4 linked regions of the Saccharomyces cerevisiae S288C genome follow. The gene in region 3 interacts genetically with the main gene of each other region. Each region holds a gene or a part of one and is shown on either strand. Other genes may lie near its edges.

The links.
Region 1: mutations in ISY1 (region 3) and URN1 together harm fitness more than expected from each alone (negative genetic interaction), as found in Saccharomyces cerevisiae (4 studies listed by BioGRID, with this or other methods).
Region 2: mutations in ISY1 (region 3) and LEA1 together harm fitness more than expected from each alone (negative genetic interaction), as found in Saccharomyces cerevisiae (4 studies listed by BioGRID).
Region 4: mutations in ISY1 (region 3) and IST3 together harm fitness more than expected from each alone (negative genetic interaction), as found in Saccharomyces cerevisiae (5 studies listed by BioGRID, with this or other methods).

Annotation. Positions count from the first base shown.
Region 1 is NC_001148.4:831,325-835,919, forward strand, and holds URN1 (Urn1p), read right to left. Parts: upstream 2,135-4,595; coding exon 737-2,134; downstream 1-736. Other genes in the region: SUE1 (Sue1p), read right to left, coding at 1-351; MAY24 (May24p), read left to right, coding at 2,365-2,369, 2,504-2,921; PIN3 (Pin3p), read left to right, coding at 3,241-3,888; NCA2 (Nca2p), read right to left, coding at 4,239-4,595. UniProt on the Saccharomyces cerevisiae protein: Component of the spliceosome involved in mRNA processing.
Region 2 is NC_001148.4:148,784-152,619, reverse strand, and holds LEA1 (U2 snRNP complex subunit LEA1), read right to left. Parts: upstream 2,007-3,836; coding exon 1,290-2,006; downstream 1-1,289. Other genes in the region: pseudouridine synthase PUS1, read left to right, coding at 1-1,105; THI6 (bifunctional hydroxyethylthiazole kinase/thiamine-phosphate diphosphorylase), read left to right, coding at 2,429-3,836. UniProt on the Saccharomyces cerevisiae protein: Involved in pre-mRNA splicing. Associates to U2 snRNA in a MSL1 dependent manner and is required for normal accumulation of U2 snRNA. Required for the spliceosome assembly and the efficient addition of U2 snRNP onto the pre-mRNA.
Region 3 is NC_001142.9:526,163-530,067, reverse strand, and holds ISY1 (Isy1p), read right to left. Parts: upstream 1,372-3,905; coding exon 664-1,371; downstream 1-663. Other genes in the region: OSM1 (fumarate reductase), read right to left, coding at 1-207; UTR1 (NADH/NAD(+) kinase), read left to right, coding at 1,592-3,184; CYC1 (cytochrome c), read right to left, coding at 3,404-3,733. UniProt on the Saccharomyces cerevisiae protein: Involved in pre-mRNA splicing and cell cycle control.
Region 4 is NC_001141.2:362,782-366,352, reverse strand, and holds IST3 (U2 snRNP complex subunit IST3), read right to left. Parts: upstream 1,465-3,571; coding exon 1,018-1,464; downstream 1-1,017. Other genes in the region: actin cytoskeleton-regulatory complex protein PAN1, read left to right, coding at 1-887; DJP1 (Djp1p), read right to left, coding at 1,834-3,132; AIM21 (Aim21p), read right to left, coding at 3,429-3,571. UniProt on the Saccharomyces cerevisiae protein: Required for pre-mRNA splicing and spliceosome assembly. As part of the pre-mRNA retention and splicing (RES) complex, required for nuclear pre-mRNA retention and efficient splicing. Required for MER1-activated splicing.

The sequences.
Region 1 (4,595 bases), on a different chromosome or scaffold from region 3:
CTTCGCCTCTGCGTTTGTTTTCTCGTTCATTGTTAATAACGTTTGCAAGGACTTTCTCTTCTTATCTCTGAATAGCGGGTTTTCCTTCACTGGGTACATTACTGGCCTGTATCCGCTATACAGAATATCGCGGGTGAGCTCCCTAGCTTCCAAATACTGTGTAGTAGGTACTTTGGGCAGCGATCTAAAGTCATAGAAATGCGCATTCTTTAAAATCTTTGAACTCCTTTGCTTGGTAATTTGTTGATGTTGCTGCCTTATGGGGTTCACCAGTCTGCTGTGAGTCCTTCTTTGCAAGCTTACAAAAGAGACGCTGACGCCCCTAATTTTTGTCCTCTTTAATAAAATCATCCTTATTCACTATTTCCGTACGTATATATGTCTTTGTATATACGTGTATGCGTGTGTGTTTCGTTACTCTCTATAATTCAACTAAAATGTATACATGCAGACACACACTCAGAGGGAAAAAATAAATGTGCTATAAATAATGAAACACAAGAAACATCTAAAGTCCGAAAATTGCACCTGCTCTTATCATTCATTCTTATACAAAAGTGACTAGATATGATGGCGGATCCCGCAGCCCCAATCACTGGCAAAGAGCCTGAATACCGATAGGTACACTAAGCGTAAAGACCCTACCGTATTCTGGTTGCTATCACCACCCCACTTCCATCACGTCCATACCAGGTGCGTAAGCTTAATCACTCTTTGCTCCCCTGGTCTGCCCTTCCTATTCCGGATTTATCGGCTCGTTCCCCGCGCCCACTGGGGTAAACCGGCTTGATGGCCCGACCTCGGCGGCTAGCCACCGCACCCAGACCACGGTCTTCTCCAGAATGCCCACGACGTAGTAGCGTGGTTCCGTCACCACTATTGGGCTGACACAACACCTGTGCTCAATGCTCAGCAATATATCCTCTATACTACTACTGTCCGCGGGTGCTTTCAGAAGTGTTTGCCATCGGTCGATAAGCTCTTTGTCCTGACGCAGCGATTCGACTGCCCCCGTAAAGTCTCGTTCGTGATCCCGTAGGCAATCGCAGAAAATCTCTTTCCGCTGTTCCAAGTCGAACGTCTTATAATAAAACAGCAGTTGGGAAACGAATTTGTCTTGGTCGCGCTTCGACGGTATATACTCCTTGATTTTGTAGGCCTTGTATAACGCTTTTTGTTGTTTCCTTATATCTTGTGGGATGGTGTCGGGTGCGATTGTTCCCGCATTAGCAACAATTTGTGCCAGATAATGGTATTTTGTTGGTTCTAGTACTTCGCTATCGTCTTCGCTATTATCTTCGCTATCGCTTTCTTCAGCGGTGGCATTGCCACTGCGCTCGCCGCACCATTCTTCGAAAAGACTTTCACGAACTGTGTCATCTCTGATCTTGTAAAAATCAGGATCGTTTTCGATTTTCTTGCTTTGCAGCGACCACGTGGAAAACTTGTCTAGTTTATACCTATCGAATAATTCGAAGAAGATATTACGCTCGTCAATGTCATCTGTATCAATACGATTCAGATCATCGATAATGCTGATATCTTGATTTACAATTTGTTCTTCATTCTCTTCGTCTTCCTCTTCGTCTTCCTCTTCGTCTTCCTCCCCCGAAGATGAACCATACCCGCTGACTAGCCCAGTGTGGCTTTCCTGTAAAGGGGATTTTACGTCACCCGCCTCTTCGCTGATCTCATCTTTTCTCTCAACTTCGTCTTGATTTCTTTTAAATAGATGAATCTCTTCGTTGCAAGATTCGAGGATTTTATCAATGTCCTCCTCCCGCATAGTGTAACCTCTGGCAACGCCAATCAGAAGAACCAGTTTTTCCTTATCTAACGACTCGATTAATGAGCGACACCTGCTGTCGTCCTCTTGACTGATGTCATTTTTGAACTCCTTAGAGTCATCATTAAAGTAAAGTTTTGTACCATCGTTGTATATTATTAAGTGCCAACCATTAACCAGTTCTAATGAAAATGTTGGCTTCCTCTCTGTCTGTGATTCTTTCGCATTGCTTTCTAGGTTAGAGCCTTTCTTCAAATTAGGTTTTTCCCATCGAGACTGCTTCGTGTTCTTATTATAGTAATACTTTTTGCCTGCAGGTGTCTTAAATTCCTGCCATTCTCCACGCATGGCGATTCTGTGTTACTGAACTGTCTTTCTCTTTATAATACATATCAGAATCTCTTTCGGACACTATTTCCTCTTTCTTCAATTATATTGTTTTCTCTTTCATTGCCGAAGAAAAAAAGAAACATACTGAAAGTTGATAAATATGCAATAATAAAACCTTTTCCTACTCTTGACGCTTCTGTATAAGATAAAAACTGCCAACAAGATCAGTTCCAACTTCCTGCCGTATTATGAGGTATGTTATTCATTACCAAGACTATATCCGCCACGGCTGGATGCAGGCATCGCTCCCTGTGGCTTAAGAAAATAATAGGCACAAAACTAACAATAAAAACATCCACTACTCTGTCGCATGTTCCCTGTGCTCAGATCATTCGTAACAAATAACGATATACCTGTTGGATATGTAACGCCAAAATTCCCCTCATTATACTGGCCCATCAACAACTCGAAGTATAATACTGCATTCTTATACTATATATCTGACATTTGGAAATTTTCGCTGTACTGGACTTTGATCTTTAATGGTGCATTTTACGTTACTGCTGGTGTGTATGCTAGCTTGACCCATAGAAAGAAGGCTGGAAGTGTATGGATATTCGTCATGTACGTCTTATACGGAGGCGTTCAAGGCTTGACGACTGGTACAGTTATGGGGTTTTTAATAGGTGCGATCTATAGATCTGGTTTATTTTCTATGTCTACATGGGTCCCACTTTGTTGCGCAGTAGTCCAAATCCTTTTCGATGTGGTGCTAAGTTATTCCATGGTTGGTTCCGTTATGTGAAAGCTTCTGTCAAGAAAAAACAAGAAGGGGTTTACTGATTTGATGATAAAAGTTAGCAGCAACTTTTGAATGAGAATGTGCCATCCTTCACGTAAAGAGCCTAATACTCTTTCTTCAAAGCGCTAGATTGTTCTAAACGTTTCTTTAACTATTGTTTTCGTTCGTGCAGCGTGATTAACCGAGCCTCCTTCGAGGCGGGGATGGATATTGTAAGCTGCATATATAGTCGAACCTCAAATCGGTTGAGACAATAGGCAAAGTGCCCACATTGGCGCAAACACAAGAACATTAGGAAAGAAGGCAATCTGATATTTCAAAAATGTCTGCTTCATTGATTAATCGTTCCTTAACAAACATTAGGACAGAACTGGATTTTCTAAAAGGGTCAAATGTCATTTCAAATGACGTTTACGATCAAATAAATAAGAGCTTGCCGGCAAAATGGGATCCTGCCAATGCACCCCGCAACGCCAGTCCAGCTTCCTTGGAATATGTCGAAGCTCTTTATCAATTTGATCCTCAACAAGATGGTGATTTGGGCTTAAAACCAGGTGACAAGGTCCAACTTTTAGAAAAATTATCTCCAGAGTGGTACAAGGGTAGCTGTAATGGCCGTACCGGTATTTTCCCAGCAAACTATGTCAAGCCAGCTTTCTCTGGGTCTAACGGTCCATCCAATCTTCCACCACCTCCACAGTATAAAGCTCAAGAATTACAACAAATCCCCACGCAAAATAGTGCCGCATCATCTTATCAACAGCAGCCATTTCCTCCACCTTCCACAAATTATTATCAGCAGCCTCAACAACAGCCGCAACAAGCTCCTCCTCCCCAACAACAACAACAACAACAACAACATCAGAGCTCACATAGCCACTTGAAGAGCTTTGGTAGCAAATTGGGTAATGCCGCCATTTTTGGGGCAGGCGCTAGTATTGGGTCAGATATTGTTAATAATATCTTTTAAGTCGTTTTTCTCTTTATATACTTCATTCATTTGTTCTCCATTATGGCCAAACCTTTCATAAATTGAACGAAGTTCTACCTTTGGTGTTGTTATCCCTAGAATTTTTTTCTAATGAGTATGAATTTAAGTAACCTTTTTTTTTCTTTTTTTTTAAACAGATATATCGTATATGGAGGATAATAGTACATCACTTATGATATGAGCGAGAAAATCTGTCTTTTTAGTAAAAAAGTATAAAAAGTAAAAAGGCGTCGATTTTGCGTTGATTTCTTTATATTTACGTCTGTACAAAAAATACATTAAGAATATATTCAATATCTTCCCTTTCTTCTTCCCCAGCAGGCTATACGCTAATGGATTAAAAACCTGCCATATACGTGGTATATCCTGTTGACGACATTTATATGAGCTCCGGAGTCAAGATTGGTATCCACCAGTTCCTCAACGTCCCTAAACCATTCTTTCTTTCTTGAACGCGGGATCAAAAAACTTCCCAATTTGTATAAGTTAGAAACCTCAATCACTAGTAGACCCTGGTTTAAGTGTTCCTCATCGGCGTCCGCACCTTGTTTAGAATAATTCAAAACTCTTTCCACATTATTCAAACTTATACTTATTTGCTCCCTATACCGTTTTTCATTAGACCAGACATTGCCTAGTTTGACAAATCTTTTTAACGCCACTATAGAAGAATATAGTATCACTAA
Region 2 (3,836 bases), on a different chromosome or scaffold from region 3:
GGCGTTTGATTGTAGAAAAATGTGCAGTTCACGTTGGTACGAATACTTATTACCAACTTATTCACTCATTGGCCCCAAACCTGGTTCTATACTTTATAGAGACATCGAAGAAAGTAAAACAGAATTACCTGGTGTATTAGATGAAGATTTGGAATCCAAAGAATTTTGGGAAGAGTTTAAAAAAGATGCGAATGAAAAATTTTCAACAGAAGAAATCGAAGCTATATTAGCATATGTTCCGCCCGCAAGAGATGAATTTGATATAAATGAAGAACTATACCAGAAGGTAAAAAAGTACAAGCAATTAGAAAATGCTCACCGTAGAAGATATCGTATATCCGCGGCAAAACTGGCCAAATTCCGTGCTTCTACAAGTCAATACCTTGGCGCTCATAACTTCCATAATTTTACATTAGGCAAGGACTTCAAAGAACCAAGTGCCATTCGATTTATGAAAGATATAAAAGTATCTGATCCATTTGTTATTGGCGATGCCCAAACAGAATGGATTTCCATCAAGATTCACGGCCAGTCTTTCATGCTACATCAAATTCGTAAGATGGTATCAATGGCAACCTTAATTACCCGTTGTGGTTGCCCCGTCGAACGCATTAGTCAGGCTTACGGACAGCAGAAGATTAATATTCCGAAGGCACCTGCATTAGGATTATTGTTAGAAGCTCCAGTATTTGAAGGTTATAATAAAAGACTAGAACAGTTTGGTTACAAGGCGATCGATTTTTCCAAATATCAAGACGAAGTGGATAAGTTCAAAATGAAGCATATCTACGATAAGATCTACAAGGAAGAGGTGGACGAAAATGTTTTTAATGCGTTCTTTAGTTATATTGATAGTTTCAACAAGGTTACTGGAGCACAGGGAGAAGAAACTGCCGATAAATCGGGACCTGCTGTGCAAAAGAGTATCTTCGAATTCTTGACAGCTAAGGGTATCCCAGGTCTTACTGATGCGCCCGAGAGCAATAAGAAGATTAAGCAAAGAAAAAGAATGGAAGAGGAGGAAGCTGCTAGTAAAAAGGCTGAAATATCCAGCACCACTCAGAGCAACGAACCTGAAGTACAACCGGAAGCGGCAGCTAATTAGGTTGCCCTTTCCTTCTTTCTTACCAACTTTAATTTCTAAGGCATTGACATTGAAATTGACATTGTCCTCTAATGTTTATAGAGCACCATTATTTGTTTTCGTTTTATATATTATTATATAATGGCACAGAATAATTTATAATTCTTTTTTTTTAAGTCATTGAACAGTCGCACTAACCAAAAGATTAAACACCACCAGAGAGTAGTTTTTCCAGCCTGGCAATCTCTTCTAAAGAAGTAGCTTCTGCTAACTGCTTTTTCAATTCATTTCTTCTCTCTACTGTCATCTTACTCACCACCAAATTCATGATCTCCATCGTTTTATCTCTGGATCCATTATCTCTTATTGCAGTATTTACTGGGCCCAACGTATCGCCGTCCGCCTGCCTTGGAAAGCTCATTGCGCTCTTTCTTTCCTCAGCTGTTACGTTTTGAAAGTCTAAAGTCTCTAAATGCGGTACTAATCGAAGTACATGTTCTCTATAATTGGCTAAATGACATACTTGATTCCCTATTAAAGTTAGATTCTTCAACGTCCTGGGCGCTCTACGCAACCTTTGAAGATCTTCAAACCTTCTTATGCTGTTATTCGATAATGTAAGGTTCTGTACATTCATAGGCAATAGGCGACCGTCTACTTCAACGATATTGTTTCGGCCCAACAGTAATGTATGTATATCGTCTCTTCTTGATAGATCTGGAATCATGATAAGGTCATTGTTTGTCAAATCCAAGATGTGCGTAGGTTTGGTCAAATGCTTTAAGCTGGATGGCATGGATTCTGAATCCGTTTCTAGCTGCAGGTCTCTTAAAATAACACATTTATCCACGTTATACTTGCCATTAAAATGATCAACATAATATTGCGGAGCATCAATAACTATGCTAGGGGTGAACTTCATTATTGCTTATAAAAACTGATATTTTCCAAGTCCTGTAGTTTCACTTCGACCTGTTGAAGGCTTGTTGGATGCAGAGTATGCGATTGGCCTAATATAAGTAAATGTCATCTATGATAAGAAAAAGACTAATAGGGCTTTTTCCTATAATTAACTAGGGTCTGTCGAAAATCAACTTTGAAAACCAGGAACAAAAAAAAGATAGATAAGGTTTATTTCACTCTTTTAGGGCAACATAATTTATGCATATTATAGGAAAAAGGCAATCGTAAGAACCTATTTAGCAGGTGTAACAAAATCAATACTACATATATTTATAGCGGCAACGCATCCATTTACTTGTGGAAGCGCCTAGTTTTCGATCTAACCATGGTTCTCAAGACCAAATCACTCTGAAGCTAAATTATTTAAATCAAACAGCGGAAATGGTATTTACTAAGGAAGAAGTTGATTACTCATTATATCTGGTTACAGATTCTACCATGCTTCCACCGGGAACTACTTTATGTTCTCAGGTTGAAGCTGGGTTGAAAAATGGTGTAACGCTAGTTCAAATCCGTGAAAAGGATATTGAAACAAAAAATTTCGTTGCAGAGGCTTTAGAAGTTCAAAAAATATGTAAGAAGTACAATGTTCCACTTATTATCAATGACCGTATAGACGTCGCTATGGCAATTGACGCCGATGGGGTTCATGTGGGCCAGGACGATATGCCAATCCCAATGGTAAGAAAACTTTTGGGCCCTTCTAAAATTCTTGGATGGAGTGTTGGTAAACCTTCGGAGGTAGAGACATTGGCTAAATGGGGGCCAGATATGGTAGATTATATTGGTGTTGGTACTCTTTTCCCTACATCAACAAAGAAAAATCCTAAGAAATCACCCATGGGTCCTCAAGGCGCCATTGCCATTTTGGATGCTTTGGAGGAATTTAAAGCTACATGGTGTAGAACCGTTGGTATTGGTGGTCTTCATCCTGACAATATTCAACGTGTGCTTTGTCAATGTGTTGCTTCAAATGGAAAGAGATCGTTGGATGGTATCTCTCTAGTCAGCGATATTATGGCCGCTCCAGATGCATGTGCAGCAACCAAGAGGTTGAGAGGCTTGTTAGATGCTACCAGATACCAATTTGTTGAGTGCGAGTTAAATAATACATTTCCGACCACAACTTCAATTCAAAACGTTATATCTCAAGTATCAAACAATCGTCCATTAGTGCAACATATCACCAATAAGGTTCATCAAAATTTTGGTGCCAATGTCACTCTAGCTTTAGGCTCATCTCCTATCATGTCTGAAATTGAAAGTGAAGTATCTGAACTAGCAAGAATCCCAAATGCTTCTTTACTGTTAAATACCGGATCAGTGGCACCTATTGAAATGCTAAAAGCCGCAATTAATGCTTATAATGAAGTAAATAGACCCATCACCTTTGACCCGGTCGGGTACAGCGCCACTGAAACAAGGCTCTGTCTAAACAACACTTTGCTCACTTACGGCCAATTTGCTTGTATAAAGGGCAATTGCAGTGAAATACTGTCTCTAGCCAAGTTAAATAACCATAAAATGAAGGGCGTCGACTCTAGCAGCGGCAAAACGAACATCGACACACTTGTGCGCGCTACACAAATTGTGGCATTCCAATACAGGACTGTTGCTGTTTGCACGGGTGAGTTTGATTGCGTTGCTGATGGTACTTTTGGAGGCGAATACAAACTTTCATCAGGAACAGAAGGAATAACCGCTGAAGATCTTCCATGTGTAATAATTGAAGATGGCCCAATTCCTATCATGGGTGACATCACTGCAAGTGGATGTTCACTTGGTTCTA
Region 3 (3,905 bases):
AGAAGCCGCCTTATCCAAAAGCACAACAGGAATTCTGTATTTACTAATGAGACGATTACTTGTGGTTAAGCCTGCCAAACCAGAGCCAATGACCACCACTGGTTGTTTCATTGACGTTTGATCTGTGCCACTTAATGTTCTTTTCAAAACTATTATCAATACGAATATTGAGACGTAAATGAAAACCCTTCTCACAGATCTAATCATTTTCCTAAGACTCGGGATGATATAGAATTATTAAGGTATTTCCTATCATAAAATCTTTCCCTTTTCGGCGGTTTTGTTTTAAATCTGGATTTCTAAGCAAAGGATTTTCGCTAGTTTTTTTTTTTCAAGTAGCTCGTAAAAAGAAAACGAGAGCTACTCCTGCATGATTCATATAAGATTTGACGAGTGTATAAGATACATTTGTATTGGTGTACATTATGAAATCTATGTAATCTACCTAAGCGTAAAAAGGAGATCTTGCCTTCGATAACTAGTACGGTGGAAGAATTACATTTAATAACGAACGGGACAATATGATATCATAGAAGAAAAAAAAATGAGTCCCGATCACTATTTTACTTCATATCTGCAGCTCGGACATGTTTGAAGATTATAATGCTTGTGATGGTCATTCGAAATAGTGCCTCTTCTAAATGTTTGAATAATTTTCCATAGCTAAAGGTTAAGTTCATCCATTAGTTTCTTTTTTCTTCTTTGCACTAACCAATGCTCCATATCTGCCAGAGTTGGTACATGGATTTCTTGTGTCTGCCTTGACATTTCTTCTTCATCTTCATTCACAGGCACATTATAATGTGCTTTCAAAATGGATGTCCAGTTAGCCTCAAATTCGGTTAAGGCGGCTGTGACTTTGCCATGGTAATAAAAATCATTTCTATCCTTCGGTATGCATTTGGTGTTTATAGAACCCCCATCATTCTGCCTTTGAGACTGCTTGAGCCATTCTTTTACTTCAGGCAATTCCAGGGCTCTTCCAAAATATCTCTTACCATTTATCAGCTTTCCTGAATTCATCAGCACATGACTGTCTTCTAACCTTTTCCTCTTGGTTTTTTTTTCCATAAGTGTATGGTCAATGTGCCACTGCCATCTCTTCCATTCTTTGAAAAGATTATTAAGTTCGTCGTTAAGTTCCGCAATCTGCATTTCATTTAAAGACGGATCATATATTCTTGTGCTTTTTTGTTTTATCTCTTTACTTACTTGTCGCTTCCATTCGTTGGCCTCTTTTATGGATTTTACCTTAGACACGTTCCTGGGCCTCTGGTAACGTGAATAATCCTTGTATCCACCTGCCGACTCTGCTTGCTGCTCTTGAAATCGTACCAGAACTGAGTTGGCCTTATCTACATTTCTACTCATTTTGAATGCACAGGTATCTGATTACTGATGTGGTGCGCCTTGCGATATAACGGTGTGTCACTTTTATTTGCTCTTTCATGCATCCTGAAATTATTTCACCGCACTACGCAAAGAGAACGGAGAAAAAGGTATAATAGGGCAAATGATCATTGACATCGTGATCGTAAGCCAAAAAAAAATACAATAGGCTCCCTAAATAAGTAGAGTAAAAGCTCTTGAGATGAAGGAGAATGACATGAATAATGGCGTAGATAAATGGGTAAATGAGGAAGATGGTCGAAATGATCATCATAACAACAATAATAACTTGATGAAGAAGGCCATGATGAACAATGAGCAAATTGATAGAACTCAGGATATCGACAACGCCAAAGAAATGTTGAGGAAAATATCAAGTGAAAGCAGCTCGCGCAGAAGCTCCCTGTTGAATAAAGATTCATCTCTCGTGAACGGCAATGCAAACAGTGGCGGTGGTACGAGCATTAACGGAACAAGAGGAAGTTCTAAGAGTAGTAATACACACTTTCAGTATGCCTCCACGGCGTATGGTGTAAGAATGTTGAGTAAAGATATATCTAATACCAAAGTGGAACTGGATGTGGAAAATTTGATGATTGTTACGAAACTCAACGATGTCTCACTGTATTTCTTAACAAGAGAGTTGGTAGAATGGGTTTTGGTACATTTTCCACGTGTGACTGTTTATGTGGATTCCGAATTGAAAAACAGCAAAAAATTTGCCGCTGGCGAGTTATGTGAAGATAGTAAATGTAGAGAATCAAGGATCAAGTATTGGACAAAGGATTTCATCAGGGAACATGATGTTTTCTTCGATTTGGTAGTGACTTTGGGTGGCGACGGTACTGTTCTTTTTGTAAGTTCCATTTTTCAGAGACATGTACCACCCGTTATGTCGTTTTCATTAGGGTCTCTAGGATTTTTAACAAATTTTAAGTTTGAACATTTCAGGGAGGATTTACCTCGGATTATGAATCATAAAATCAAGACAAATTTACGGTTGAGGTTGGAGTGCACAATTTATCGTAGACACCGCCCTGAAGTAGACCCAAACACGGGGAAGAAAATATGTGTGGTGGAAAAACTAAGCACACACCACATTTTGAACGAAGTGACCATCGATCGTGGTCCAAGTCCTTTTCTATCCATGTTAGAATTGTATGGTGACGGCTCATTAATGACCGTTGCGCAGGCGGACGGACTGATTGCTGCTACTCCGACTGGGTCCACGGCCTATTCTTTGAGTGCAGGTGGGTCATTGGTATGCCCAACCGTCAATGCAATCGCTTTAACACCCATTTGTCCACATGCATTGAGTTTCAGACCCATCATCTTACCAGAAAGTATAAATTTAAAAGTGAAAGTCTCGATGAAGTCAAGGGCTCCAGCATGGGCGGCTTTTGATGGGAAAGATAGAATTGAATTGCAAAAAGGTGATTTTATAACCATATGCGCCAGCCCATATGCTTTTCCAACCGTGGAAGCCTCGCCCGATGAGTTTATTAACAGTATCAGTCGACAACTAAACTGGAATGTGAGGGAACAACAAAAGTCCTTTACGCATATTTTGTCCCAAAAGAACCAAGAAAAATATGCACATGAGGCGAACAAAGTCAGAAATCAAGCAGAACCTTTAGAGGTAATAAGAGATAAATACTCTCTGGAAGCAGACGCTACTAAGGAAAACAACAACGGAAGCGATGATGAGAGCGACGATGAGAGTGTAAACTGCGAAGCTTGCAAATTAAAGCCTTCGAGCGTCCCAAAACCTTCTCAAGCAAGGTTTTCAGTATAATGTTACATGCGTACACGCGTTTGTACAGAAAAAAAAGAAAAATTTGAAATATAAATAACGTTCTTAATACTAACATAACTATTAAAAAAAATAAATAGGGACCTAGACTTCAGGTTGTCTAACTCCTTCCTTTTCGGTTAGAGCGGATGTGGGAGGAGGGCGTGAATGTAAGCGTGACATAACTAATTACATGATATCGACAAAGGAAAAGGGGCCTGTTTACTCACAGGCTTTTTTCAAGTAGGTAATTAAGTCGTTTCTGTCTTTTTCCTTCTTCAACCCACCAAAGGCCATCTTGGTACCAGGAATATATTTCTTTGGGTTAGTCAAGTACTCTGACATGTTATTTTCGTCCCACAACACGTTTTTCTTGATATTGGCATCTGTGTACGAATACCCTTCAGCTTGACCAGAGTGTCTGCCAAAGATACCATGCAAGTTTGGACCAACCTTATGTGGGCCACCCTTTTCCACGGTGTGGCATTGTAGACATCTAGTCTTGAAAAGTGTAGCACCTTTCTTAGCAGAACCGGCCTTGAATTCAGTCATTATTAATTTAGTGTGTGTATTTGTGTTTGTGTGTCTATAGAAGTATAGTAATTTATGCTGCAAAGGTCCTAATGTATAAGGAAAGAATATTTAGAGAAAAGAAGAAAACAAGAGTTTTATATACATACAGAGCACATGCATGCCATATGATCATGTGTCGTCGCACACATAT
Region 4 (3,571 bases), on a different chromosome or scaffold from region 3:
ACGGAAAAGACAACTTTGGCGGCCATGTGAACGTTCCTCAGGCCGCTCCAGTGGCACCATCTGCAGCTTTTTCGCAAAATTCTACTAATGCTCCTCGCTCGGTACACGCTGCTGTTACCCCTGCCGCAGGTAAGAACAGTACTGGTCTGCCTTCCACGACAATGGGCCATAATCCATACTTCAAGGATGCATCAGCTAGCTCTACATCTACTTTCGATGCTCGCGCTGCAGAAATGCAAAGAAGAATCCAAAGAGGATTGGATGAGGACGAGGATGATGGATGGTCTGATGAAGACGAGAGTAATAACCGCGTAGCTGTAGATAATAAGGTTGAAGAAGCAAAGATTGGTCATCCTGATCATGCACGTGCTCCACCTGTTACTGCTGCTCCCTTGCCGTCTGTTACCCCTGTTCCACCTGCTGTCCCTGTCCCTCAGGCGAATACCTCTAATGAAAAGAGTAGTCCTATTCCAATAGCTCCGATACCACCTTCTGTTACTCAGGAGCCACCCGTCCCGTTGGCTCCCCCTTTGCCTGCTGTTGATGGCTTTCAAGAACCTCCAATTCCCTCAGCACCTGCAATAGCTACTGCCGTGCAAAAATCGGGTTCTTCCACCCCAGCTTTAGCTGGAGGCGTTTTGCCTCCACCCCCACCTTTACCAACTCAACAAGCTTCCACTTCAGAACCTATTATCGCTCACGTTGATAACTACAATGGTGCTGAAAAAGGCACGGGCGCATATGGATCCGATTCTGATGATGACGTTTTATCGATTCCTGAATCAGTTGGTACAGATGAAGAGGAAGAAGGGGCACAACCAGTTTCTACTGCAGGTATCCCATCAATTCCACCTGCAGGTATTCCTCCACCCCCACCCCTTCCATGAAGATTTAATTTGCTTTCTATAGATACGTATGTATACTAATTTCTGAAAGGATGTAGAATTACAAATATGATATTGATTATTTTTTTCTAGGCTATATGAATATAAGATATGCGATGAAAGAAAAAATTATTTAATTTGGTTGGTCCTTTTTAGCCAAAATGAGTTTCTCAGCATTGTTCTTCGAAACTATATCTCGATCCAATTCTTCCTTTACAGCTTCATAGTATTTTTGTAAACTCCTTTTTGGCCTATAAAAAGTATGATCAATTTTGAGGGCTCTACCGCCAATTTTAAATCCATTTAAATTATCGACTGCTAGAATCGTTGACCGTTGATCCTCATATTTCAAATATGCAAAACCTTGCGATTCTCCTGTGTTTTCATCCCTGCTAAGAATTACATCTACAGGGACTCCATATTCAGAAAAGACTGTCAATATGTCACCTTCTGTTAATTCTCGGTTGAGATTTCCGATATATATATAAGCATTATCCTTATATTCATTATGCCATGATTGATGCGGGCTAAGAATTCCACTTTGTAGTTCTTTATCGTTGATTTGCTGAATTTTGTTCATTGTTATTTTGTTTATATTATCTATGTTCTTGATCTAGAATTGCACGCTGCACTTTTTGAGTTGTATGAGTAATTAATGTTCGGCCTATTTTTTTTTATCTGTATTAATCTCAAAAAATTCCTAAACCCAGAAAGGTAAAAGAGCTTATCATTTAAGTGTGGCATAATTCTCCAGCCATAACCACTTCCTTATCACATAAATTATCATTGTCACTGAGTTCAATCACTTCTTTATTGTTCTATTGTCTTTCTTTCAAGAATAGAATTATCAGTATTAGTGTGATCTTATATACATTATATTATATTGAATACAGATAATAAAAAAAAGTGAATTTTTGAATTTTTAATATACAAGAGATGATTGCTAACTTCATGTATGTCTCTTCTTTTTTGTAGCTTCTGCTACAAGTTCTTCAAAGATCTGTGCCTCTTCTTGTTCGACTTTGGTTCTGAAAGTTTTCTTAAAGACTTCACCCAATAGTTTCATTGCTTCAGCTCTTCTGATAAGCGTTTTCTTACTTACCGAGTCATCTTCTAGTACTTTTTTACAAACGCCACGTAAAGTGGATGTTATTTCATATTTAGAACCATGCCAAGCAGCCGACAATACTTTGCCCATCAATAGCTGCTCTTGCTGCGCCAGTTCCTCAGTGGTTGGCTTAATTTGCTCATTTCCGTCTTTGTCAAACAAAGGCTCATTATTCGTGCTAGCTTCTTTCATTTTTTCAAGCTCCTTCATAGTATTCTGAGCGTCTATGGCTGCCGAAACAGTTCTTAGTGTATCCATAAATACTCCCCCTTTAGCCTTCATAGAATGAAATATACCACCCATTCCGAACAGGTTCTGGGATGCAAGAAAAATTTCAGCTTTTTCGTAGTAAACGTCGCCTATTGTGTGTAATATGTCCAGACCAAATGATTCCATCTTTAAAAGATTGGCTTCCTCTTCGAACTTTTTTTTAAAGGAATCTTTACATGCATCATCATAGACACTTTCTGTTAATATCGATAATCTTTCAATCAATGTTTTGCTTAATTGGTCTACTCTTTTTTGCTTTTCTACCTCTTGTTCTTCCTCAAACTGCTCTAATTTTGTCTTCTTCTTCTTAGCTTCTGCTCCTACCTGCTCATTTTTCTTGTTTCCATCGTGTACAGTTAAATTACCAGAAGTTGTCCTCGCCTTATTTTTGTCATCTTTTTCGTTAGTATTGCCCAATGCTGCATCAACAGCGTTAGTGGTGCCATTCGTCTTACCGTCTGCAGGTGATTCTTCCATTGTTTCCACATTCTCCTTCTCCTTTTCAGCTTCGTCTTCAGCATTTAGCTCCTCAGTTTTCTGTAGGTTCTTTAATAGCATCAGTTCGCCAATATATGAGGCAAACGCATCTCCACCAAAGATGACAGAGAACTGTTCAGCTGCATCTTCAAAGCCGCCCTGAGGAATAGCTTCTTTTCTTCCATACTTATCATACTTTGCGCGAAGATCATCGTCACCTAAAACTTGATAAGCTTCGGATATTGCTTGAAACCTTTCGGTAGCCGTGGGGTCATTGGGATTCTTATCAGGATGCTCTTGAATAGATTTCTTTCTATAGGCCTTTTTTATTTCAATGGAAGATGCAGTGGTAGACACACCTAACAAATCGTAATACTCAGTATCAACAACCATATCTTTTGTATAATGCCCCTTCTGGCCGCAAGAAACACTTAATGATTTAGCATAACTCTGTTATTCCTCTTGTAAATCTGCCAATTTGTTCAGTACGCTCTGCTTCAAAATAGCACAAAATTCAGGGTGTGCGGGTAAAAAAAAAAAAAGTCGAAGAAATATATATATATATATATAGAATAAAATCTAGTTTTTATGCCATTATTATTAATAACACCTCTAGTTTGCTCGTCATTCACATATTTCTCTCTTGATACATACTATAGAGTTTATTCATACATATTATTTATAAGATTCTAAAGGGAGTGAAAAGACGCTTCTTCTGAATGTAAGGCAGAATCAACGTCTTCGTAGCCACCTGAGAGTTCTCTTTCCATATCAACCTCCATTTGGTCCTCCATCTGCTGTTCCTGTATTTCTGTCGTATCGTTTTGATCTC